Regions from separate parts of the Mus musculus genome. Here region 2 is reported to be linked to region 1. The links are microRNA targets in miRTarBase. Many come from high-throughput screens and were not tested one by one. Region 1 holds a microRNA gene; the other region holds the end of a gene's coding sequence.
The links. The annotated mature microRNA mmu-miR-7068-3p reads UCACCCUGGACUGACUCUCAG and lies in region 1 at 6,167-6,187, opposite strand. An mRNA with a match to its seed (bases 2 to 7 or 8) in the 3' UTR can be bound and repressed. Matches are read on the target gene's strand: a 7mer-m8 pairs with bases 2 to 8, a 7mer-A1 pairs with bases 2 to 7 and ends in A, and an 8mer does both.

Region 1 (12,776 bases):
AGTCTGGCTGGCTGCTCCTCCTGGCCTGTGTTGTGTGTCTGGGGCTCCAGGGATGCCTTAAGCACCTCTGGCACGGGGCCTGGCTTCTAGCATGTGTGGGCACGGGGTAGAGGCTATCCCTGTCTGCCTATTCCACACCCACCCTTTGCTTGTCACTTCTACAGCACTGAAAGGCAAATGCAGAGAGGCAGCCAGGAGACACCCCCAGTGGACCTTCCTACACTGCCTACTCACCTGCAGGAAAGTCTCCCTGGGGATAGTCAAAGCGGTGAGGGTAGGGTGGCCGCTCAAAAGGGTGACGAGGTGGGAAGTCATCCTGCATGAAGCGGGGTGGGAACCGGTTGAAGTTGTGGGGATGTGGAGGCTGGTTGAACTGTGGGTGCTGCTGGTGGGGTGGGAACGGCCCACGGAAGTGGGGGGGCCGCTGCATTCTGAAGGGCGGCTCCCGCTGGGCACCACCCCAGGGCGGTGGCTCATGCTGATTGTTCCATGGTCCTTCAAACTGGTTATTCCAATTGGGATCTGGCTGGTTGTTCCACGGAGCATCTCGCTGCCCATTCCAGCCAGGGTCCCCTCGCTGCTCACCCCACATGCCCTCGTGGCTGTTGTTCCAGGGTGGGCAATGGGGTGGTCCACCTTGGTGGTGTGGGTATGGGGGTTGCTCAGGGGGCTGCAAGGCAAAGCACAGACATGAGCACAAGGTCTGGAGTTACCTATCTCACCCTAGGTCCAAATGCACATTTGCACATTCATACATAAAACTGACTATGGCCACTGGGTCCTTATACCTGGACCCAGTACCTTCCTCCCCAAGTCCTAACAGGCACCAGATCCCAACTGGGACATAACACAGGTGCATCCCATACCATGACTCAGAATATCCCAGCATGCTGGACTGTGAGTCTTATACTACCATTCTGCATCATAACCCTACTCGTCCAGAACATTGCCTAAGGTTAGCCTGGAACACCTGTCCTTGTTTCTTTTTCTTTTTTCTTTTTTTGGTTTTTCGAGACAGGGTTTCTCTGTGTAGCCCTGGCTGTCCTGGAACTCACTTTGTAGACCAGGCTGGCCTCGAACTCAGAAATCAGCTTGCCTCTGCCTCCCGAGTGCTGGGATTAAAGGCGTGTGCCACCATGCCCAGCTTGTCCTTGTTTCTTTAGCCAGGTAAACAGATGCATGTGGCTCAAGATATTCCTAGCTACTGCTCAGACCACTTACAGCAGGGATGACAGAATCTTAGATTTGGGACAGGAGTTACACAGGAGAGGTCCTCTGCCACTCCCAAGGCAGCATGCTGCATGACCCATGCTAGGCTGATAGGGTGCTCTTTCAGGCTTCCAAGAGGAGAAGAAGGCTGTAATCCCAATAACAGAAACAATCTCTAAGGTGCCTTGAAGGCAGGATTAGAGAAGCCTGGTCAGTATTAAATAGGCATTGGGGTGGGGTGGAGGTGGCACTCTAGTTCCAGGACAGCCTGGAACCTAATCCTACATCAACTTTCCAAAGACTGGGATTAAACATGCTCCCTTGTCCTGGCTCCAACCCCACTTCTAAGGATGAAATTCCATCTACCTGGACTGCTTACTCACCCCAGACCTCTAGTTTTATTGGTTGAACTGCCACACTGGCTAAGAAACCTCAGTGGACCAGACTTCTAGCCCCCAGATCTTACTGAGCTTACACAATAAGGCCTGTTCCCTACCTCCCTCAGAGGTTCCCATGTGCCCACCCCATAAGGTTCACAGCTGGCACTTCCAGGACATGGGTGCTGTCTACAAGGAGTATCTATCTCATGTCAAGTAAACCTGCTAGTCCTGAAGCTGAAGGGTAGAAGGCTCAGATTTGAGACTTGAAGCTCTTAGGGCAGGGCCACATGCCTGGTACCCATCAGTGTCCTCTACAGTCAAGAGTCACCAGAAAGGCCATATTCAACAGATAAATAGGCCATGCCCTATTGAGGGGAAAGCGTATTACACCTAGATACTCCAGACAATCTCACCTAGCAAATTATAAATTAGTTTTGGTCATGTACCACATGACCGCTGCTGCCCTGTCTACAAGTCTGCTACTCTGAGCCACCCAGAGTCTTGGCACTGCAGCCACCACCTACAGATTCCTAGAGAAGCCCACCACTTCTGATCTTCCTTCAGTCCCTTTATGAGAGACCTGAAAGCTACACTAGTAAAGACAGGCAAACAAGGGCCTGAATAGCCCACATAATGGTAGCACGGAGACAGGGCTTTGCCTATGCTCTACTGTCTTTCAGCTACTATGGCTGTGCCTGCCTGCTGCCCCACAGGTCCTCATTAGGTGCAAGCAGCCCCCCCCCCACCCCCCCAGACAGGGATTCTCTGTATATCCCTGGTTGTCCTGGAACTCGGATCTATAGACCAGGCTGGTCTCCAACTCACAGAGATCTGATTGCCCCTACCTCAAGTGCTGAGATTAAAAGCATGTGACACCACTCCCTGATGTGGGCAGGCTTTTGACTCAGCCATATGTGCATGCCCCAACAGATTTTAGGAAATACCTGCTGTTGACCCCAAGGGGCAACTGGGTGAGGCTGATCAAACCAAGGGGGCTTGTTTGGCGGGATCTGCTCATGGGGGCCAGGACCTCGAGGGCCAGCAGCTGCAGGATCCTGGACACCTGCAGAGGTGTCGTACTCTGAAGAGCCAGGCATCTGGATGGGAGGCTTGTTGTCATCTAACACAGGTGACATACAATAAGAGGCAGCTAGTCAGCAGGAGAGGCTGTTGACCCTCAAGCACCCCCAAGCCAGCCCAGGACAGGACTTGTACTTCCTAAGCTCACTGGAAGCCACCCCTCCAAATGTCACCACCACCCCCCTCTAGAGATCCAAGAGCGGAGGGACATTCTCTATGCTCATGGCATGTCCTGTCTTGTCTATTCACAGAATTATTGAGTTATTTTTTTTGTTTGTTGGTTGTTTTTTTGTTTGTTTGTTTGTTTTTGTTTTTCGAGACAGGGTTTCTCTGTGTAGCCCTGGCTGTCCTGGAACTCACTTTGTAGACCAGGCTGGCCTCAAACTCAGAAATCCGCCTGTCTCTGCCTCCCGAGTGTTGGGATTAATGACGTGCGCCACCACCGCCTGGCAAGAGTTACTTTTTAAGTAACAGCTGTGTGCTTACAGGCATGCACATGGGTGCATGAATGGTGGTCATAGGGCAACTCTTGGCAGCAGGCTCTCTCCTGCGACCCTAGGGCTCAATCCAAGGTCATCAGATCCTGTAAATGAGTTTATGCCTCCTGAGCCATCTCTGGCACCCCATCTGTTTGAGTCTCTCAATGAATTTGGAGCTCACTGACCATTCAAATGAAGTCCTCCACGTGCATGGAAAGCACTTTACTGACTGAGCCATCCCTGTACCCCCAGTTAAACATTTTCACCTCAGTCTTTGGGGGAATAATTTGAGGTACAGTTTAGGCTGGCCTTGAACTTACAGGATTAAGATCACAACCATTAGCTACCATGTATGGCTAGAACTCTTCTGAGATACTGATTCTTGCCTTATATCCCAGTCTGGTCTAAACTCCTCCTGCCTCAGCTTCCTAGCTGCTCATTTCAGATCTTATCCAGGTTTCTTCAGATGTGGTCCTTTACACACATACACATGTACACTAAAACACTAGATATAGGCATGTAACATGTGTGTCTGTCTAGGACTCGGCTCTATGTGTTGAGCCCACTCAGCCCTGGACCATAGTTTCAACCATGCACCAAGTGTGGATTAAGGTGCAAGCCAGTCGGGAGTGTTTACCTGGTTGGACACATAAGCAGATCAATCTTGGCCCAGCAGTGGGCGGGCTGTGGAGCAGGTGTCCAGGAGGGAAGAGTGCTTTCTGTCATTTGGGGAAGTCAGTTTCAAGAGTGGAGGGAACCTCATACCTGGCTGGGTAGTTGGTGGGATGGTGGGGGCAGGTGCTGAGGCTGGTGGTGGTGCTGGTGGTGGGGGTGTGGCCTTCACATCTGCTTCCATCTGAGGCAGCTGAATCTGTGGCTGTGGCTGTGGCTGCGGCTGCTGCTGCTGCTGTTGTTGCTGCTGCTGCTGCTGCTGGGCTAAGCTGCTGACGAACTCTTCATGCTGTGTCTTGAGGCTCTGGATCTGCTGCTGGAAGGCCAGCTGCACAGGCTGCACCACTGACGAGTACTCATTGATGAGAGTCGCCTGGTGGGGAAGAACAGGAGCACTGCCACTAAGGACACCAGCCCAGGATCCCAAGAGCCAAAGGCTGTGTGTGATGCAGCCCGACTCATCGATGAAAACAATAGTGGGCAGTTTTAAACGTCCTGATGATGGGTAGCTCCCGCTGTGTGATGCTCACCTGATACTGACCAAGTCCCAGGGCAGGGCTCTGCAGTTGCTGAATGATGGAGTCATCAAAGTAGCCGTTCTTTTCCCAGAGCTGCAGGAGCTGGTGCAGAGGGAGACTTGTTAAACAGAGCTCACATCACCCAGCCACCTGCCTGCCCAACCACCCAGCCCCAGCAGCCCCATACCCGGGCAATCTTCTGCTGTTTGTCCTCCTCCACAGCCAGGAAGCTGGTGCAATAGATGGGTACTACCACCTTCTGCAAGGCAGCCAGCAGCTCCCGGGCCTGCTTGCGCTGGCTGTGAGGGAGAGACCTTCCGCGCGTCAGGGCCCTGGGGCAGGACCCAGCCACGCACCCGTTACCATGCGGCTGTGGCCACAGCACCCTCTCCTCAGGAAATGCCCCCCACCCCAAACCAGAGGGCAACAGCAAGACTATCTACAGTGTAGGTGCCTTGTCTTAGGAGACAGGTAGAGGCAGAGTGTACACTCCAGGGCTATTCAGAACAAGACCTTCACTATTAGAAGGACTCATTAGAGCCCTTGCATGTGTGTAAAGGGTGAAATTGGGCCGTTGTGGTTAGGACCTGGTCACTACTATGCACAAGCAGGTTCAACAATCTGCTCAGAAGGGATTCCCCAGCCTCATAGGGCCACTGAGAAAGCTACCGGGAGCCTAACCACCCATGAGGATTGTGGTCAACACAAGGCACAGCATTTGCCTACCAGGTGCCAAGGCCCTGGCTTCCATGCTCAGTGCCACTGAGAGGGGATAAAGGGAAAGAAGCAGCCAAAGGCAGCCCTTCCAGCTGTGCAGTATTCAGGCCTCGGGAGTAGTAGTGGCTCAGCAAGACAGCCCATATGCAGACCCAGGAAAGGTGCAGGCAGGGACTAATAGCTTCAGCTCCCACAGCTGAGGTCAAAGGGCAGCAAGAGTTGGCCAGGAGGTAGGCAAGGGAAGGCAGTGCAGGTCAGAGCTTTGTGTGAGCCGAGTGAGGAGTGTCCCAGGGAGTGGGAGAGAGGCCATCTGCGCAGAGGCCCTACCTAAGAGGCAGGAGCAAGACACCTTGAGAGGAAATAGAGTACAAAGCAGGAGGGTGTGGACACAGCCTGACAAGGAGGGGTCGCATGAAGATAGTTAGGGAGAAAGATACCAGCTTCTCCTGCTCTCATGGGAGCCATATATACTTATCAACTGTCCTAGCCTCAAGATCATGCTGAAAGCCAGAGGGCAGCCAGCCCAGCTGACTGTTGGCATGTGTCACTAGCATGGGACCTTTGCACCTGTCTCTGACCAGAGTTCTGGACTCTGTTTTCCTTCATCAACTTCACCCGCTGGCCATGCAAAGACACACCTACCAGGCCCCAGGAGGCTGGAGCCAAATACAATGCAAAGAGAAGACTGATGGAGAGAGGATCAGCAAAGGTAGCCCTAAGACATGGAAGAGCAGACAGTGCATCGGCCAGGTGTCTGGCTATGCAGACCGAAGCAGACACATGATGGCTACAGAGGCAGAGAGGAGGCAGCAGTGCCCAAGGCCTGCCTTGTGGGGTGCCAGCCACTGTCCTGGGAGTACAAGCAGTGAACCAGTGTGCAAGTGCAGCAAGGGTGGAAACTGGAGGAGTTGGGGGTCCCTGACAGGTGTGGGCTCTGGACCAAGTGGTCAAGTACTTACCAGTGGTGCAGCACGTCATTGATCAGATAGATGAGGTGTAGCCGCAGCTCGAAGTGTGCGCCATCAGCAGTGATGCGGTTGCGCAGGTGGCCTGCCATCAGCTCACAGTGTGGTGGGGACTTAGCATTGCTGAACATCCAGTTCTTCCCAGCCTGAGAGTCAGTCCAGGGTGAGTGGGTGGTCAGTCGGGCAGGCGACGACACCCCCACCCCATACTGAGCCTCACCGAGATGGCATCCTTTGTGCAGGTGTCAATGATGGGCTGTAGCAGGTTGTCAAACTCGCTCATGTCCAGTTGTGTCTCTTCCAGCAGCTTCTGCATTTGCTGTTCCACTGCATGTGCCACGGCTGTCGTTACTTGCTCCTGGGAAAACCACAAGGGACAGGTGGTATGAGCAGGGCCCTTGCACAAACACTGGTATCGTCCATCATCACAGCAGGCAAGGCAGCCTGGCCTAAGCTAACAGGAAAATGTGAAGGAGGCAGGGTGCTCATGGATCACCTAAGCAGAGCAAGGCAGGGGGTAAAGGCTAACACATGTGCCTGTGACCATTTGGGAGGCTGAGGGCAGCTTGGGGAGATGCTATCTCAAAACCAAACCAAACCAATCTAAACACAAGCAAGTAAATAGTAGGTATAGGTCACCAAGAGTAGAGGCTGGTTCTGCTGTCTAAGACCTAACTGTCCAGACTATGACTGATGGTAAACATCCATGCATGATATGTGATGGTGGTAAGCAAGGAAACCCTGAGTGGGGCTGGCACTCAGGTCTGTATGTCTTCTCTCCTTTCATTTCAGGTAGCTCATCCCTATAGAATTTGGCAACAGAACCAACCTAAAAGATGGGGCCAATAATGCCCCTCCCTACTCATTAAGAATGGTAGGTACCTAAGCCGCCATGTGTTGGCATCCACAATGGGTACAAGTCCACTGAGCGATGCCTGTGGATGACCCACAGACCTACTGGAAGGTGACTCCAGGGTCACTGACAGTACATGCAGGCATACCTGGCGCAGGGCCAGCAGGTGCTGTTCCTGCTGCTGGAGACTCCACTGGCTCTGTTGGATGAGCTCGTCCATTGATGGGGTGCCCTGGGCCGGAGTGAGGGACGCTGTGGGAGCCAGCGGAGGTTGTGGCAGAGGGGGCATGGCTGAGGTGGGCTCCAGCTCTGGGGCCTGCTGCTTGCAGATTACTAGCAGGAAAGAGATGGGCCTTGTGAGCTCAGGGGGTGCCCCAGGTTCCTTTTGGTGATCCATCAGGTTGCCCTCCAGAGAGAGGACCTGATGGATCCACTGTCCACCGCACACGGCCATCCTGCCCAAGCTTCCCTGTTGTGCTTGATCTCACTGTCCCAAGACAGGCTGACCCTTCCATCTTCCCTTCTCATGCAGGCCTGACCAAGCTACTATGCACTGCAAGCTATGACCAGGGCTGGAGATGTGGCACCTCTCCCAAGGTGTGTCTGTCCCAAGCCACTGGATCCTAATCTCCCCTTCACTCAAGACAGCCAGCATTCTGGAGGTCTGGCCAGTACACATAGGGCTGGAGTGCCCCCAAGACCAGCCCCACCTCTTGTGGCTTGTGGTGACCGTCCCAATCTGCAGCCTTTGGACTAGCTTGAATCACCAGCAACACCCTGGTATGACTGTATATGAGGCTGGCATGTACCCAGATAAGGTCTCTGGAGAGGAAGGCCCCTACTCACAGGTACGACTTTAACAATATGGCCTCCTTACTCTCTACTTTTAGGCCCTGCCTGCCTCAACTGAACATAGCCACACTCTTAGGAGCCTAAGACTCATCAAAACAAATGACTTTGGATAAAAGCAAAGAAAGACAGTGTCACCTAGGCTTTAATGGCACCCTACATGTCTGCCTGGTTCATACTGGTTCATAAGCTCCAGATCCCATATTCCTTTTGGAAGCTCCACTTTGGAGGTGTCACCATGGGCCATTGGGCTTTCACAGACTTAGGCCTCTCAAAGTCCCTGCACTGCCTCCCAGTCGAGTATAGCAAGCCACTCAGATGAGCGGTATACATACCCTCACACTAGTCAACAGCATGCCAACTACATGCACTCTTCCACATCACTGCTATCGATCTGCCTTTGCGTGTATCACACCTAATAGGAAACTGTGTTCTACACCAGAACAGGCCTCTACCACAGCAGTCAGAGTGGCTTGTGAGCAGCCTTGAGTGTCAATTGCTATGGAACAAGCAACACCCTACAGCTCACATTTTTATTGTACTTTACAAAAACAAGACCATGATAGGAGTAGAATTTTTTTTTTTTTTAAACTAGAAAAGTTTTCTTTGTGTAGACTGTCTTAGAAACTCTCTGTAGCTGGGCAGTGGTGGTGCATGCCTTTAATTCCAGCACTTAGGAAGCAGAGGCAGGTAGATTTCTGAGGTCTCGCCCAGCCTGGTCTATTAAGTGAGTTCCAGGATAGGCAGGGCTACACAGAGAAACCCTGTCTCAAAAACCAACCAACCGGGGCTGGTGAGATGGCTCAGTGGGTAAGAGCACCCGACTGCTCTTCCGAAGGTTCAGAGTTCAAATCCCAGCAACCACATGGTGGCTCACAACCATCTGTAACAAGATCTGACTCCCTCTTCTGGAGTGTCTGAAGACAGCTACGGTGTACTTACATATAATAATAAATAAATCTTTAAAAAAAAAAAAAAAGAAGAAGAAAACCAACCAACCAAACAAACAAAAAAGGGAAAAAAACTCTCTGTAGACCAAGCTAGCCTTAACTCAAGAGATTCACCTGCCTCTGTCCCCCGAGTGCAGGGATTAAAGGTATGTACCACCACACCCAGCTGACTAGTGCTTTACCACAATTCTTACAAAATGTCATTCTAGAACAGTCCTGGGTTTAGTTGACCTGAAGCCCTTTCTGAGCCTTGTTACTTCTAAGCAATGCTCATAGCTCCTCAGCAAAGCAGGTCCTCTCTACTGCGTATCTCCCTTGTGTCTAAACCCAATCTCTCTTGACTTCCACCACCCACCACCCTCAGCCTGCCTTGTCCCTGTCATGTCCAATATATTCATTCTACTGTGCTATGGCTGGCAGAATGTCCTCTTGTCTCCCAATCCCTAATGTGCCAAAGCTTACATGTATTCTCCATTTCCAGGTATGTTTTTTTTTTTCATTTTTTATTAGGTATTTAGCTCATTTACATTTCCAATGCTATACCAAAAGTCCCCCATACCCACCCACCCCCAGGTATGGTTTTAAGTTGAAAGCCTAAACAAGTGACTGTACAGGGGTGGGCACAGGCTTCCTGTATAGGGATATATAATAAGGCACGGTCTAAACTCCTTTCACTTACCATCCCTTACCCATCCTCAATGGCTCTACCTTCGACCTCTCCCACTTCCATGTTCATGATCACCACCTTTCCTAATTCCAGTCTGTCCACTAGAACACACTGCTGGAATCTGTTTCAACCGCCATCAGCTTTAGGATGGCTATGAACTTGGTGCTCTGGGGCTAAGGAATGACCTCTCTAAACACGCATGAGGACACAGACACTCTGATGGTGATGTCAACCTCTACCACAACTGAATAGGAACCAAAACCTTATGATCAATAGACTCTAGTCCTACCCCTCCTTGGCATATGAAAAACCCCTCAGTTCACATGTGTGATGTCTCCTCTCTGAATACATACCTTCTTCAAGTCCCTGTGCTCCATGGGCTCAAGTCTGCCTGCCCTACAAGCTTTCTATCAACCACCTACAATACATTGCTGGAGTATAACCAAGTATGTTTGGCATCAAAGAGGACTGTAGCTCAGCCACTATCACTCTGACTACTCATTGGCTTTGCAAGTCCAGACACTTATTTCCACAGTTTATTCAGAGACTAGAGAGCTACCCTAGATATGACAGATGTGAGTTCTGCTCTCAGAAACCATAAAATCTGCTGTTACTATTCAAAGCTTGGGTATGCTGAAAAGCTGATGCAGGAAGGCTGCTTTGAACTGGAAGCTAGGCTGGATAACATACTGCCAGGCCAACCTGGGATATGGTGTGAGGCCCTTAAAGACCAGCTGTGCTTCTTCACTCATTTTCCTTTTTCTTTTGTTTTTTTTTTTTTTTTTTTTTAGGCAGTCTATGTAGTCTTGCCTGTACTGGAACTTGTACAATCAGTTGGCCACAAACTCACAGAGATCGACCTGCCTTTGCCTTCTAAGTGTTGAGATTAAAGCGGTGGTCCCATCATCCCTGGCTCTAAACTTTTTATTATTTCTATTATTTTTAATCATATTTTTCTTGATGTTTAAATCTAGTTTACAAAACTAGCTCTAGAACAGTCAGGACTACACAGAGAAACCCTATCTCGAAAGCAAAAAAAAAAAAAAAAAAAAAAGGAAAAGAAAAACGTTGCAAAAACTAAAGGGAAAGCTTTTTGATCTATGCACCTGAAATGCAGAAAGCTATGGTCTCAGCCTGCAGAAAGGCTGCACAGTTTGCACAGTTCCCACCTTCCTGCAGATCCGCAATTGCCTCTGCAAAGACCACCCAGGGACCACTCCCGACCCAAAAGCCTGGATAGAGAATATATGATAGTCTCTCCTTATGACACACAGATCCAGCAGTCTATCTTGGTACAGGGCTCCGGGTAGGACAGAAGAACGGCTGCTCTGCTCTGCAGAGGAAACTTGCAACTCTAAAGAAATTGGCTGCGGCGGGGCCCGCATTGAACCCCGAGGCGGCTGAGGGCCTGAGGGGAACTCACGCTGTTGCTGCTCCAGTGCCAGCTTGCACTTGTAGTAACTGTAGAACTCGCCTCCAAACAGAAACGAGAACTTAGGGTTGTCCTTCTGCTTCTCCATCGTCATTTTCTCGAACTCGGGTCCGTTGCGAGCCACAAACTGAGCGAGCTTATCGATGACATTTCGAAGCTCCTGATCTGCAAAACAGAGGAAAAGGCGTCAGTGGGGGCAGCCTGACCCGGGGACCAGGCCGGGGTCCTCTGGGGCGGGCCACTGCAAGGCGGTGGTGTACGGGTCCTGACTAGGGCCAAGCGCGCGCCAGGAATGCGGGGAACCACGGAGAGGCCGAGGGAGGAGCGGCGAGGCCGCAGCGCGCTCCGTCACTGGCCCGGCAACGCGAGGAGGCACGGCTGGCCGGCGGGGGCACACGAGAAGAACCCAACGACCTCAGCTCAGGGACCGGCCTCACCATCTGGCGGCATCGGCATCTCCATGGCTGCAGCCACTGGCAACGTCCTCCGCCGCCTCACGATCGCTTACCAGCACCGGCCACAGAAGCCGGCCGGAAGTGGCGCGAAGGGCGACGTTTACGACGGCCTCGCGGGCCGCTTCGCGCGCCATTTACGGCTGTCGCTGGGAAACACCGGAAGTGAAGACCGGAGGAGGGCGGGAAGGGACTGCGTGAGGACTCCAGAGAAGGATGGCCTAGTGAGACGCATGCGCGTGAGCCTCTTTGCGCATGCGGCGGCCCGGCCGCTGTTCCCCGACGCGCTGGAGCGTGAGAAGCTGCGCCGGCGGTACTCTGGGTTTCTGCTGCGTTCTTGCGAACGCGTGCACTCCCAGGCCTCTGCGTCTTTCACATCCTTTTACGCCATCCAGAAGGCGGGATCGGCAGGTGATGGTTTTGGCGAATCACACCTCACTCGGCTCCTGTTCCGATATGCTCCTTCTGGGTAAGAATTTTGAGCATTGGGGCTCCACAACATCACATCAGACCGACGTGGAGCAAAGACATCTCTTCTGAAGCGACTATAGACGTTCTATGGAAGGAGAAGCGGAAGCTGCGTCAACACCCCATCCCTTCTGTTTATTTATATTATTACTTACTCCTGGTTTTTGAATATTAGGTCTCATAGAGCCCAAGCTGATCTCTAACTCCCCACACAGCCTTAGATAATCTTGCACTCCCGATCCTCCTCTTAGCTCTTAAGTACTGAGATGACAGGCGTGTGCCACCACCACACCAGGGTTACAGGATACTGGGGATGGAAGACAGGACTGGCTGCATGTTAGGCAATCACTGAGATATACCATCGACCTTTAGAAAGAAAAAAAGATTTATATTTTGCCGGGCATGGTAGCGCACGCCTTTAGTCTCAACACTTGGGAGGCAGTGGCAGACAGATCTCAAGTTCAAAACCAATTTGGTCTACAAAGAGTTTCAGGATAGCCAGGACTATACAGAGAAACCCTGTCTCGAAAACAAAGGTTTAATTATGTGTCAGGTGGGTTTGTGTACGTGACTTCAGGGCCTAAAGAAGCTGGAAGCAGGCACAGGATCTACAGCACTGGCATGATTTACTTTCTGAGTTTGTGCTGGCCACTAAGCCCTTAGTGATCCTTTGAGCCTGTTATGCCAGGGTCTCCGACTTTTCCTAATTGGATATTCTTACTGCTGGAAGCACCACACCACGATTATATGAGGAGGAAGGAGGAAGTTGAGCCTAGCAGGTATCCTGATCCCTATGCCCTTCCTGTAACTCCTGTCTTGCCTGCTGTGAAGCCCCTTTATAATGTCCTACTCTTGGAGCTGCAGAGATAGCTCAATGGTGATGTGCTTGTCATGGGAGCAGGACCACCTGAGTTCAGGTCCAAGAATTCAGTGTAAAAACCAGACAACAGCAGCACAGGCCTGCAATCCCCAAAGACTATTGTGACCTTGTAGGGACTCTGTGTGGCTCACAGTAAATAGAAGTCTGTATCTGCCCGGACTGTCTCCCTCATGCTCACCTGAGATAGTTCCAGAAGATTCTTTTT
Region 2 (12,776 bases), not on the chromosome of region 1:
AAATTTACATGTGTGTGTGTACACACACACACACAGACACCCACACAGACATACCCTCCCTTATGCAGTACTGGGCACTAAACCCAGGGTTTTGCACCCCCCTTCCCCCCTTCCCCCAACCCGGGCTCCTCATTTCAATCAGGGTTTTAAATGAGGAGGAAAAGCATAAAAGGGGAAAATCCAGTCCTCCACACCTGTGTGGATGCCTCCTGCTCTGAGGGCGACACAGCCACCACAGTGGCCGGAGAGGACACTCAATTCTCCCTGGTGAACAGAGCTCACGATGAATGCTTTGAGGTTAGTGTATAACTGCACAGCGTGGCCTGCCAGCCTCGGTTTCTCCTGGGCTTTTGTTCTTGTTTATTAATTTATTAGTGGATGCAGGGTGTGTCGAGTACCTGGCTCTCCCAATTTAAACACTAAGATTGGGCTATTACACATAGAAATCCCATCTGAAAATAAGCAAACCAAACAAAAAAGTTATTTCGGATTTCTGCACAAATTGCAAGTTTTGCTAACACAGGAAATTATATTAAACTAAAAATACTCAGGTAGCTTTTGCACTGGTTCTTTTTTTTTTTTTTTTTTTTTTTTTTTTTTTTGGTTTTTTCGAGAGACAGGGTTTCTCTGTATAGCCCTGGCTGTCCTAGAACTCACCCTGTAGACCAGGCTGGCCTCGAATTCAGAAATCTGCCTGCTTCTGCCTCCCGAGTGCTGGGATTAAAGACATGCGCCACCACGCCCGGCGCGCTGGTTATTTCGTTTTGTTTTGTTTGTTTTAAAGGGTCTCTCTGTGTAGCCCTGGCTGCCCTGGAACTGTCGTGTAGACCAGGGTGGCCTTAAACTCATAGACCCCACCATCACCACCACCTCTGGCTGGGATTAACTGTGATTGTGAGTAGGACCTAGATAACCCAGGGGACAAGCCTCTAGGCACTGAGTCTGAGAGGTTACCTGGGTCGGGTTACCTGAGTGGAAAAACACTTTAACTCTGGGCAGAACCAGTCGGTCAGCTGGAGTGCTGTACTGAATAGATAGAAGAAATTCAGTTTAGCACTCACTTTCATCCTTCCTGTTTCCTGACTGTGGAGGCAGTGAGCGCCGCTACCTGAAGAAGCCCATGACTCGCTTCCCCACAGTGATGGACTGCACCCTCAAACCATGAGCCAAAAGAAACCCCCCACCATAAACTAACAGTATATAAAGCTAACATTTAAAGTGTAGGGCTGGGGTTAGAGGTCAGTTTTCAGAGTACTTGCTTAGCATGTGCAAAGCCATGGTTGGATCCTAGCACCACATACATGGTGTGGAGGCACACACCTATAATGCCTATAATCTCAACACTTGTGATGTGCAGGCAAGAATGTCAGACGTTCGGCTGGACAGACAGATGGCTCGGTTGTTTTGTTTTGTTTTGTTTTTATTTGTTTTTATTTTTGTTTTTTTTTTTTTTTTTTTGTTTTTTTTTTTTTTTTTTTTTTGGTTTTTTGAGACAAGGTTTCTCTGTGTAGCCCTGGCTGTCCTGGAACTCACTCTATAGACCAGGGTGGCCTTGAACTCAGAAATCCGCCTGCCTCTGCCTCCGGTTGTTAAGAGCACTTGTTGCCGTTGCAGAGCCTGGGTTAGGTTGTCAGCATTCACATAGAAGCTTGCAATCCTCTGTAAGTCCAGTTCCAGGAACCTGACACCCTCTTCTGGTCTCCACAGTCACCAGGCATGCAAGTGATGAACACATACATGCAGGCAGAACACTCACATAAAATTATAATTAAATAAAAACGGTAGATTTTTTTAAATGCTTTGTGAATTATGTCTGACATTATTCATAGACAAACATAATTTTTTTAAAGAAAAAGTTAAATGAGTCTAATTATTTAATCCTTTAGGAAAAATAATAGGCAAAATATCAAGGAATTAGAGAAAGCCCAGAAAATTAAAGAGGATTCTAAGAAACTATCCTCTGAAATCAAGGCTCACCGCTAGCTGCATGCCACATCTGGTGGAGAGCTCACACGGGGTTGGCTAGCTCCACCTGAACCAAGTGGTGGCCATTGGTCCCAGCATTCTGTCTGTGCAGTGCTCCGTTTCAGCACTTGAGTGTGCAAGGGCAATCCTGGCTAGAGACACACCCGCTTGGCACGACCTCTGTTAGATATGTGACATTCCTGTTGATCAAAGCCCTTGTTCTGAACACCAATTCCACACAGAGCACATCTTAGGTTCTTATCTGTTTGCCAGGTTGCATTAGGCATAGGAACGATTCTTCACAATGTGGCCCAGAGTCACCCTGATGATAATCCTGACCAGACCTTGTCACATGAAGGTAAAGATGTCAGTGCAGGCTTCGGGTTGTAGAGTCCATGGTGAATGTGCAAATTCACAACTCAGTGTTCGGTATCTCCTCCCCTCAAAGGTGTGTGCAGTTACAAGTGACTGCATCCACTTTGGTGCCCTCCTGTTTGCTGTAGCTCCCAGGAAAGCAGACGTGGAAGGCTCGGGGATGTAAATGAAAGGTGCTCGAGACGCTTAATCCTGCCTACTGATTGCATGGTCACGAAGGTCGTGGCTGCTCTGAATGCGGCTCGGTAGAGCATGAGGCCCTTGGTTTGAGTCCCAGCACAGTTACAAATCTAACCTGCTCAACTCCACTCCATTCTCTGGCCCAGACAACGATCATCTGTCATGCACCAACTTTCAAACATCCCTGGACAAGGTGCCCTTGCTCCCACCTGTCTCCTTGAACTTATTTCTTAAACCCGAGAAGAAAGGCAGGGCGACAAGTCCAATTTGAGTTTAGCCACAAAACAAAGGACATGGAGTCTTGCTAATGCTAGGTAATGTACCATTCTGATTGGCTGGCAGTCCTAGCCCCTTCCTCTCTGGATTTTTCTTTGCCCACAAGGCTTGAGCCAACTGGGCTGAGCATTTTCTGTGTGATGTGCTCTGAGTATTTACTTCGTCCCCTAAACTCATGAATTAACCCCCCCAGAAAACCAAAGCAAGAGTGGGTCAGGGGACTTCAGACTTCAGGGTTAAAGCTGAGTCTGTGAAGAGTTAGCATACATGGTGACGAGGACACAGTCTGTAAATGGCAGTGCTCCTACTAGACAAGTTAATTTCACAAACCTGCTTGAGTGTGCCGACATGCTTGTGATCACAACACTCCTGAGGTACAGGGAGAGGCAGGAGGACCTCGAGTGTGGGGACGGCCTGAGCTACATATGCCTGTCTCAAGCAACAAAAAAAACTTTTTAAAAGTTCATAAGTGCCAGGTGTGGGGGCCAGAGAGATGGCTCAGCAGTTAAGAGCACTGACTGCTCTTCCAGAGATCCTGAGTTCAATTCCCAGCAACCATCTGGGGGCTCACAGCCATCTATATTGGGCTCTAGTGCCTTCTTCTGGTGTGTCTGAAGACAATGACAATGTACTCACATACATAAAAAAAATAATCTTAAAAAAAAAAGAGCCAGGTGTGGTTGCAAATGGCTTTAATCCCAGTACTCGGGAAGCCAAGGCAGGAAAAGCTTTGTGTTTTTAAAGATAGCCTGGTCTATGTAGCTAGTTCCAGGACAGCAGGGTTACATAGAAAGGCCCTGCCTCAAAAAAAACAAAAACAAACAAACAAACAAAAAAAGCCCCAAATTATAATAATAGTAATAACAAAAATAAAACACAATTCTGAAGACTGTGACATTCTTTATGTGTGGTGCTTGTACAACATCAGGCAGTAAGGGAAGTCCACAGCCAGCTGTCGATTCAGGATCACGAGGGTTCTATCAACTTTTCAGTGGGTCCCGAGGTTTGGAAAGTAGAGTGTCATTGGACCTAATTATTACTATTAGGTTGTTGTTAGGAAAAAAACCAAAACAAGACAAAATTAAAAAACAAACAAAACCAGAGGCCAAGCCTGGTAGTACATCCCTGTAATTCAGCACTCAGGAGACTGGGGGACGAGGATCAGGCAGATGTTCAAGGCCACCTGCCTCACACAACAACCAAAATAATATTGATAGCAGAATGAAATTAGGGCTTTAGGAAATCCAACTTATGGAACAGCAAAGTAAAGTTGGTGTCATGTGAATAATGTAAATCCTCCCATACCATGGCTTACATAAGAAACCGGAGGGATTATTAACATCATAGTAATATATAGTAATTCATAGACACAAACTACAGAAAAGACAGGCTGGTGGCAAGAGGCAGAGGTGGGTGGATCTTTGTGAGTTTGAGGCCAGCCTGGTCTAGAAAGCTAGTTTCAGGACAGCCAGGGCTACATGGAGAAGCCCTGTTTCCAAAAACAAAAACAAAAAAATTAATAATACAGAAAAGCAATTCATGTGTCCAGTAAGAAAATTCATTCTTTCTTTCTTTCTTTCTTTCTTGTTTGTTTGTTTGTTTGGTTTGGTTCATTTTTAAGGTCCTGGGAACTGGACGTGTAGCCTGCTACATTATACATGCAGCAAGTACTGTGTCACTAGGTTCCAGGGCCCAAAGTTCAAATGGCATCAGATTCAGACCTAGCTCTTGCGGTTGTATCAGAGTTCTGTTTGCATCTCTTTGCTGGAGGTGGCCTCCGGTGTGTCGTGTTGTGATGTTTGTTCAGTCACCAGCATAGTGGAACTTTTTATAGAACTAAACGTCCTCATCTGGGTGATCTTTACAGTTTTAGGAAATAAACATAATTTACCAGTTTTAAAGACACAGTTAACTAAATGAGCTAATATAACATTTATTCTGTATTAGTCAGTACATGAATCAATTCAGCTTGAAACCTTTTTCTCTACAGAGTATTATTTCTTTACTATCAGCTTTTGAGTCACAGTAGTACTAATTTCAATGAGGATACAAAGTGGTACTCTTATGGTTCTGATGGCTCGTCCACTTAACATTTCTACAGGCAAAGAACCGACATATGTGACATTATCAGGCCTTCTCCTGCACCTGGTCACAAATCAGAGGAGATATACGGTTTATGTTCAGACCCCAACTTCTCCATCCTTTCTACTTCCCCTTTTGCATTGTCGGTGGCTCTGCCTCACCCCTGTCCTGGCTTCTGTTGCCACCTCCTTTACACACACACACACACACACACACACACACACACACACACACCCTACCCAGGATGAGCTGTAGGAGGCCTATTATCATAGTCTTTGACAGGTGTTAACGTGTTGAATCCAACTTTATTGGGGCACCCATACTTTATGTAAAGTCATTCTAATAAATTTTGGTCATCAAGGATCATTACAAAAATTCTTTCCAAAAATGTGTGATAAAATGCAAAATGGATTGAAATTTTCAATTTCATGTAAGAAACTTAGTTGCGCTGTAAAACAGGAACTTGAACCTCAAGAACTCTACAACTGGGGTTGGGGATTTAGCTCAGTGGTAGAGCGCTTGCCTAGCAAGCGCAAGGCCCTGGGTTCGGTCCTCAGCTCTGGACAAAGACAAAAAAACAAACAAACAAAAAAAACTCTACAACTTAAACAAAGGTATTCTAAAAGTGCAAAACTGGCAGGTATAAAAGTCAAATCCTGGTGCATTTAGCATTTAACCAGGAAGTAGACTACTTATTCGGTGAAGCTGACTAAAGGAACTTTTCAAAAAACAGGGTTTGAAAGTCTAACAATTATTTTAAAAATTCTGCCACAACCCCCTAAAAACAATTCTCAGCTATATAAAAAAAAAATAATAAGGCAACTGGAAATCAGACATTTGCAGATGAAATGAACTCTGGGCTGGATGCATGTGCAAGGCTGCCCCAGGGCCTTCTCATAGGCCACAGAGCTAATGAGTCTCAAGCACGAAGCCTCTCTCGATACACTGTCGAGACCGCATTGTCTCTCAGAAGTAAAGCCGTGTCTAAGACTCCACTAAGTAGTAGACCAATTAAGATCATCCCCATCTTCATGCTGTCAAGCCCGTTACCTGGAGGAAAATTATGCAGACAGCTTTTCTGAAGAGATCCATTTGTGCCACATGCTTATTATTCTTGGAGGTGGAGGGGGTGGCAGGGAACATGATTTCTGTTGGAAAGGTCTTTTGTTTTCTGCTGCCTTTACTTAGATGTTACTGGGGACTATTTTTAATATCTTAAAAAAGTACGCTGAACAAATGTTAAGTGAATAGTCACACACAAAAAGATCGAGGCAAGTGCTTGTATCCTCTGTGCTGTGTGAATAACGCTTGACTTCAGGGGGTGAAGAGAAGACACTGAAAAATTATCAAGGATCTGATAGACGCCCCCAGCCTTAGAAATTTCCGACTTCAAGAAGAAATTTGATCTTAGCTAATGTTCATTAAAGGCAAATTTCAATGAAAATTAATGTGACTACCCTAAGTTGATGCATCTAAATGGGTCCGTTTAAGGCCACAAGGGTGTAAATTGAGTCAGAATCTTTCTATATAGTTTGCATAGAAAGTCAAACTGCTTGAAATACATCCCATTACCAAAAAAAAAAAAAAAAAAAATGATGGCAGACTTCCAAGCCATCTCTTATTTTTATAACAACAGAATAGTTTGGACCACCCTAAGATTCACTATCATTTGGCCACATAGCAGATACTTAGGGTTGTGACCCACTAATGAATTTCTGCATTCTGCTTACAGGTTGGAATTATGCTTTAAAAAGCCAGAGAAAATACTTAAGAATGAAGGAGAATATATTTTCTTATAAAAACAATCAATTATAACAATACCTTCTAACCAAAGGTATAATTATCAAATAGTAGTGTAGGGAACATACACACACACACACACACACACACACACACACACACACACACCCTGAAACCCAGGGCTACTATCTTACCCCCAAAATTACAAATTTACTTTGTGCCTGCTTTTCAAAATCTCCAAACCCAGAATATCTTCAATAACTAAGAGCTTGTATCTTATAGATTTTACTCATTCATAAGAGATTAGAAACCTTAATGTGAGTGTAATGTGGCTCTCCTTGGAGCCATTCTTATAGTAAATAGATACAGAATTGTTTAAAGTACTGCAAAGTGTACCAACTTTAACCAGGCTTTTAAAAGTTCATTTTAAACATATTTGCTGGTAGCTATCTATACAAGTCTATTAGCACCATATACAGTGGGTTAAAATATTCTTTCAAAGATGATTTAGGAGTGATTTTTAGTTTTATGTCTAAGAGGAAAACCATTAAAATAAATTTATTGAAGGGGTGTTGTGTTTTTATCTAAATTGAATGATACCCCATCACCCATTACAAACATGAAGATAGGCAAGCCTGAAGAAAATATTTTCACATTCCAGCCAAGAATCTTGCTAAACATCCACCATTTGGTTAATTTTCAAAGCCACATTAGTTACTTTTGCACAAGATCACAATATGTATTTACAAAATAAAAGATAGGAAAAAGCAGTGTATACATATGCAGCCCATAAACACAGTGTAAGTGCAAAGTGGATGAAAATAAGCAGTGCTCGCTGGACAGTGGTGGCGCACGACTTTAGTCCCAGCACTCAGGAAGCAGAGGCAGGCGGATCTCTAAGTTGGAGGCCAGCCTGGTCTACAGAGTGAGTTTCAGGACAGCCAAGGTTACACAGAGAAACCTTGTCTTGAAAACAACAACAACACAAAAAACAAAAATAACAACCAAACCAACTAGTGGTGCTCATGCCTCAAGAAGATGCTCAACAGACATTGTACCATGTGTACCACATCTTTTGTAACAAGTAGAAACAGTATCACTTAGTTTAGATAGTGGGATGGGGGTGCTGTACAATATGGACCCTAACGTGTGGGGTTGGGTAGTATGTTACAGTGTTATGGCTAGACAAAATGAAAAATACTGGTGTTGAAAATCTAGGCTTTAGTGTGAATTTTGACCTTTTATTCAGTTCATTACATAGTTTATGTTTGGCCAAGAACTATTTTCACAAGAATATTACGGTTTCCTGGCCCTTTAGCCAGGCGATGATGACCCATACCTTTAATCTCGACCAGCACTTGGGAAGCAGAGGCAGTCGGAATTCTGTGAGTTCGAGGCCAGCCTGGTCTATAGAGCGAGTTCCAGGACAGCCAGGGTTACACAGAGAAATACTATCTGGAAAAAACAAACAAACAAAAAAACAACCCAAAGAAGTAGCTCTGCTATTAGAATCCTTTGCTACCTGGGAAGTTTGCCTCCTGGATAAAAAATATACTCTTCCCCATTTGATTTCTCAGGAGAAAGGTTCACTCACAGATGGGTATATACAGGTCTTCTGGGCAGAGGGATGTTGGGGAGAGAACACACTTCCTGTGTCCATGCCTACACATGTGTTAACTATTGGCCTGACCGAAGGAACCCATGAACACCTTTAGTACAGAACTTGCTCAAGACTAGAAAAGCCCACTCACCTGATTCACCACTAGAGACAGCAGGAAGACCCTGTAAAAGGAAAGCGAATGGAGCGTTCACCTATAACCCAGGGTCGAACCATCAGAAAGAAACCCAGACTTAGTGACATTAAAGAACCATATAGCATACCCAGTGCTCAGTAGTCTTCCCTCCTCAAAGCACTGGGCTATTGCCTGCCACTTCCACACCTCCCCATAAGTCACTTCGCACTGTGATCTGTGCTGACTCCCTCCAGTCCAGAACTGTGTTTCAATGACAGAGTTTTACAACCTTCATTGATCCTTTAGCACTTCTGGGCTGGAACTGTACCCTTAGATTCCACAGATGATAAGCCTCTAATTTATTACTGAGAAAGAAGTGCCACAAAGGGATAAAAGAATTCATCTTTCAAGGGTTTTTTTCCCCCCTTTCTTTTCGTGACCTGGAAACGAAGTCACTGGAACAGCGTATTTATTTGATTATCCTCGGAAACCATTTCATTAACCAGCTGTTCTACAGACAACTCGATAGCATTCTTGACGAGAGAAGATGCTGTTTCTATTAAGAGTGTTTCATACTGTTCTGAAGTTCTCCCCTCGAAATCACTATCATTAGCAAAAACCCCCACTTGCTCGTTTTCCATTGAAATTAGGAATTGCTTAGGAACATTTTTAGACTTCTTAACATCAAATTCACTGATTTCAGTGTCAGTAATGATAATAGCAATTGGCTCCATTCGTTTGCTTTCTTCTGATCTCGGTTTCTCTGTATCAATTCCATTTTCTTTCAGATCTGGTGCATGGCTCGATATAGCTTCCTCAGCCTGATCCACTGTGGGTTCCTCTGCCTGATCCACTGTGACTTTCTCTGCCTGTCCAACTGTAGCTTCCTCTGCCTGACCCACTGTGGCTTCCTCTGCATGATCCACTGTGACTTTCTCTGCCTGTCCAACTGTAGCTTCCTCTGCCTGACCCACTGTGGCTTCCTCTGCATGATCCACTGTGACTTTCTCTGCCTGTCCAACTGTAGCTTCCTCTGCCTGACCCACTGTGGCTTCCTCTGCATGATCCACTGTGACTTTCTCTGTGTGGCCAACTGTAGCTTCCTCTGCCTGACCCACTGTTGCTTCCTCTGCCTGATCCACTGTGACTTTCTCTGTGTGGCCAACTGTAGCTTCCTCTGCCTGACCCACTGTGGCTTCCTCTGCCTGACCAACTGTGGGTTTTTCTGCCCAATCAACTGTAGCTTCCTCTGCCTGACCAACAGTAGCTTCCTCTGCCTGACCCACCGTGGCTTCCTCTGCCTGATCCACTGTGACTTTCTCTGTGTGGCCAACTGTAGCTTCCTCTGCCTGACCAACAGTAGCTTCCTCTGCCCGATCAACTGTAGCTTCCTCTGCCTGACCAACAACTGTAGCTTCCTTTGCTTGGCTCAATATAGCTTCCCCTGCCTGACCAACTGTAGCTTCTTCTGCCTGACCCACTGTGGTTTCCTCTGCCTGATCCACTGTGACTTTCTCTGTGTGGTCAATTGTAGCTTCCTCTGCCTGGCCAACTGTAGCTTTCTTTGCCTGGCTCAGTTCACCTTCCTTTGCCTGACTCAATACAGTTTCCTTTGCCTGGGCCACTGTAGTTTCCTCTGCCTGGCTCAGTTTCCCTTCCTTTGCCTGACTCTCTGCCTGGATCACAGTAGCTTCCTCTGGGTGGCCCGCTGTAGCTTCTCCGGCCTGGCTTAGTGCCCTTTTGTCTGCCTGGCCAACTGCAGCTTCCTCTGCCTGGCCCAGTGCAGTCTCTCCTGATTTCTTTTCTTCAGCAGCAGTCTTTCTCCTGTCATCTTTCCCACTTGGGGCACTTTCCCGGATGCCATTACTGGGTTCTTCCAGACTATGTTGATGTGTGGTTGCTGGTGATGGAGGAGCAGCAGAAGTCACTGACCGAGGGCTGCCTGCTGCTGAACTCTCAAGTAGACTTGCTCGCTGCGTCTGCACACTTGGCTTTTCCGTGATCACCTTAGTCTCCTTTTCCAGCTCAGGAGTTCCCATCTGGATAGCAGAAGATTTGTTTTCTAATTCCAGTTCTATGGCGATCACATTCTCTCCCGAGGTGACGCTGTTGCTTATGTGTGATTCTTGGCTCTTCTTACCATCTCTCACCAACACACCTTCCTGTAGGCCCTGGGTAGACCCAGCCTGGATTGCCTGGTCATCTGGCTGGGTCTGGGCTTTTATCTCCAAATCGTCTGCCTCTCCCTGGACTCTGACGTAGCCTGAATCTTCTGTGAGTTTGGAATGACGACTTCTCTTTGCCCCTCTTGAGAATCTTAGGCAAGGAAACTTAAGTCTGGATTTTGCCTTTTTCTTAGGAAGAGCCCCATCCTCGGGCTGCACCTCTGCCTCAGGCGGCTTCTGCTTCTTTGCAGGCTCGGACCTTTTCCTGTGTGTCACAAGGCCTTTGATGGAGGCCCAGGCACCCGCTGGTTGCCGTTGACCAGAGCCCCCAGCTTCGGGGGTATGTTTCTTTGTCTCCTCAGCAGTCCTGGAACCGGCTTTGGGTTTTGTCTTGTTCGCTTTCTTCCTTCTCTTGAAGCAGAGTGTGGCTGTTTTTCTCTCCTGCCTCTCTTTCTGAGGACTGGCTGCTACTGGTCCCTTCTCGTCCTTCGTCTCTACCTGAATCTCAGAAACGCTGGTCTCCATTTTGACGCTGCACTCTTTCATTCTCTAGAAACGTGTCTTTTCCCTTCCTCCGAAAGTCTTTTGTGACAGAAATATCACACCAGCTCCGATTTCTCCTACGTGTCCACTCTCCCCTCACACCACAGCTGTTTCTGTGACTTCTTCAGGACACGAACGCCTTGTTTATCTGAGCCTCACGGTGTCTTCTTTTAATTTACTCTTTGAATGAAAGCACTTTCCTGGCTCAACTTCTTCTTTATTTGAAGCCCAACCTGATGAGAGAAAAAAGTAGGGTTTATTTCAGGGTATTTATTTTATTACGTTATTTTGTTTGGTTTTTCCAGACAAGGTTTCTCTGTGTAGCCCTGGCTGTCCTGGAACTCACCCTGTAGATGAGGTTGGCCTCAAACTCAGAGATGCACCTGCCTCTGCCTCCCAAGTGCTGAGATTAAAGGCGTTCGCCACCACTGCCTGGAGGAAGCCTATTATTTTTAATATAAACTGTATCATATGGTGCATGCATTCCACAGAAAGTACATACTACAACAACTTAGGGCTAAAAAGCGAGGCTTGGTTTTACCCTATCAAAAAGATTTGAGTGTGAACTCATTTTGCTCAGATTTTGTTTGAGGTCACTCTGCTAGTGTGCCCAGTTATCTTCTCCAAGAATTGTTTATGGTCCCATATGGAAAGTTTAGCAAATAACAAGAAAAGAGAGGGCAGTGTGGTAGGGAAGCCTGAGTACTGTCTCATCACATACCACGAAGAACGCTGGTACTACGAGGGACATGGGAGATGGCTCACGATGAATTAATGATCAACGTGAGCTCCCAGTGGGCAGCTAGAGCTTGCAGAAAGCCTTCAGCTAGATGAGGACCTAGCCAGAGTTAGAAGTAGAAAATCTGACTCTCTGGTGTTCGTTCTATTGTAGCATAAGGTTTCTGTTCTAAAAATGTACATACATTTCACCAAGGAGGCGCTACTTTCCATACATACTCTCAGAAAAAAAAAAAATCTAGCATCGCTGTCATTCTCTACTCTTAAAAGTCGTTGTGTAACTTTGACATCTTCAGTGAAGTGCCTGCTACTCATGTTTCCCCACTGTAACTGCACACAGCTGGAGGTAAGTTAGTGACGGTTCCAGCCAACGTCGGTTGCGCGACTCCCGTGTACGAGGCAGCAGCGCTGAGCACTTTCACATACATCTCTAACCTGCACCGCAGTGTTGCAGAGTGAGGAGGTGGTGATATCTCCATCTGCAGTTAAGCAGTCTGCCTGCCTGAGACTACAAAGCTTGTCGGTGGCAACAGCGCTCAGATTTAACCCAAGACTGCCTGTTTCTGAACTGCGTTCTTTCACTGCGCCTCGAGGTCCAAGAGAAAGTAAATTGCTTTAAAATGCTAATCTGAGGCTGCTTGTGACCACGCGTGACTGTAATTCCAGCAAGTGGGAGGTGGAGGCAGGAGTCTCAATCAAGGCCATCCACAGAGCTACATAGTAGAGTTGAAGACAGCACCAGCTACGTGAGACCCTGTCTCAGAAAAACATGTAAAACTAAACTGACACATAGCTTAGTGACAGAACATTGGCCTAACGTGCCACAAGATTCTGGGTTTGAGCCCCAGTGCCACCAAAAAAAGTAATAGTCCACAGAATGGCAAGGCTTAAGGAATGAGGACCTGGAATGACTAGCTAACAACAGCTCCGTGCATTTTAGGTGCTGAGCCCTGAGTTAGGCGCAGGGGAGCCTTTCATG

Region 2: miRTarBase lists Akap5 as a target of mmu-miR-7068-3p. Seed matches in the 3' UTR shown: 7mer-m8 at 6,784-6,790.

The regions. Positions count from the first base shown.
Region 1 is chr8:72,463,850-72,476,625 of GRCm38, forward strand. It overlaps Mir7068 (microRNA 7068), which reads right to left and starts at 6,240; the gene lies at 6,167-6,240. Cherp (calcium homeostasis endoplasmic reticulum protein) reads right to left here and starts at 11,384. Exons shown (of 18, transcript NM_138585.3): 1 at 11,209-11,384; 2 at 10,763-10,936; 3 at 7,022-7,206; 4 at 6,241-6,378; 5 at 6,015-6,166; 6 at 4,526-4,637; 7 at 4,351-4,440; 8 at 3,914-4,193; 9 at 2,534-2,709; 10 at 235-670. The coding sequence starts at 11,233.
Region 2 is chr12:76,326,082-76,338,857 of GRCm38, reverse strand. Akap5 (A kinase (PRKA) anchor protein 5) reads right to left here. Exons shown (of 2, transcript NM_001101471.1): 2 at 4,707-11,292. The coding sequence starts at 11,041. The coding sequence ends at 8,804. Among named protein-coding and RNA genes, the nearest start is that of Akap5, 7.6 kb to the right of the region's middle.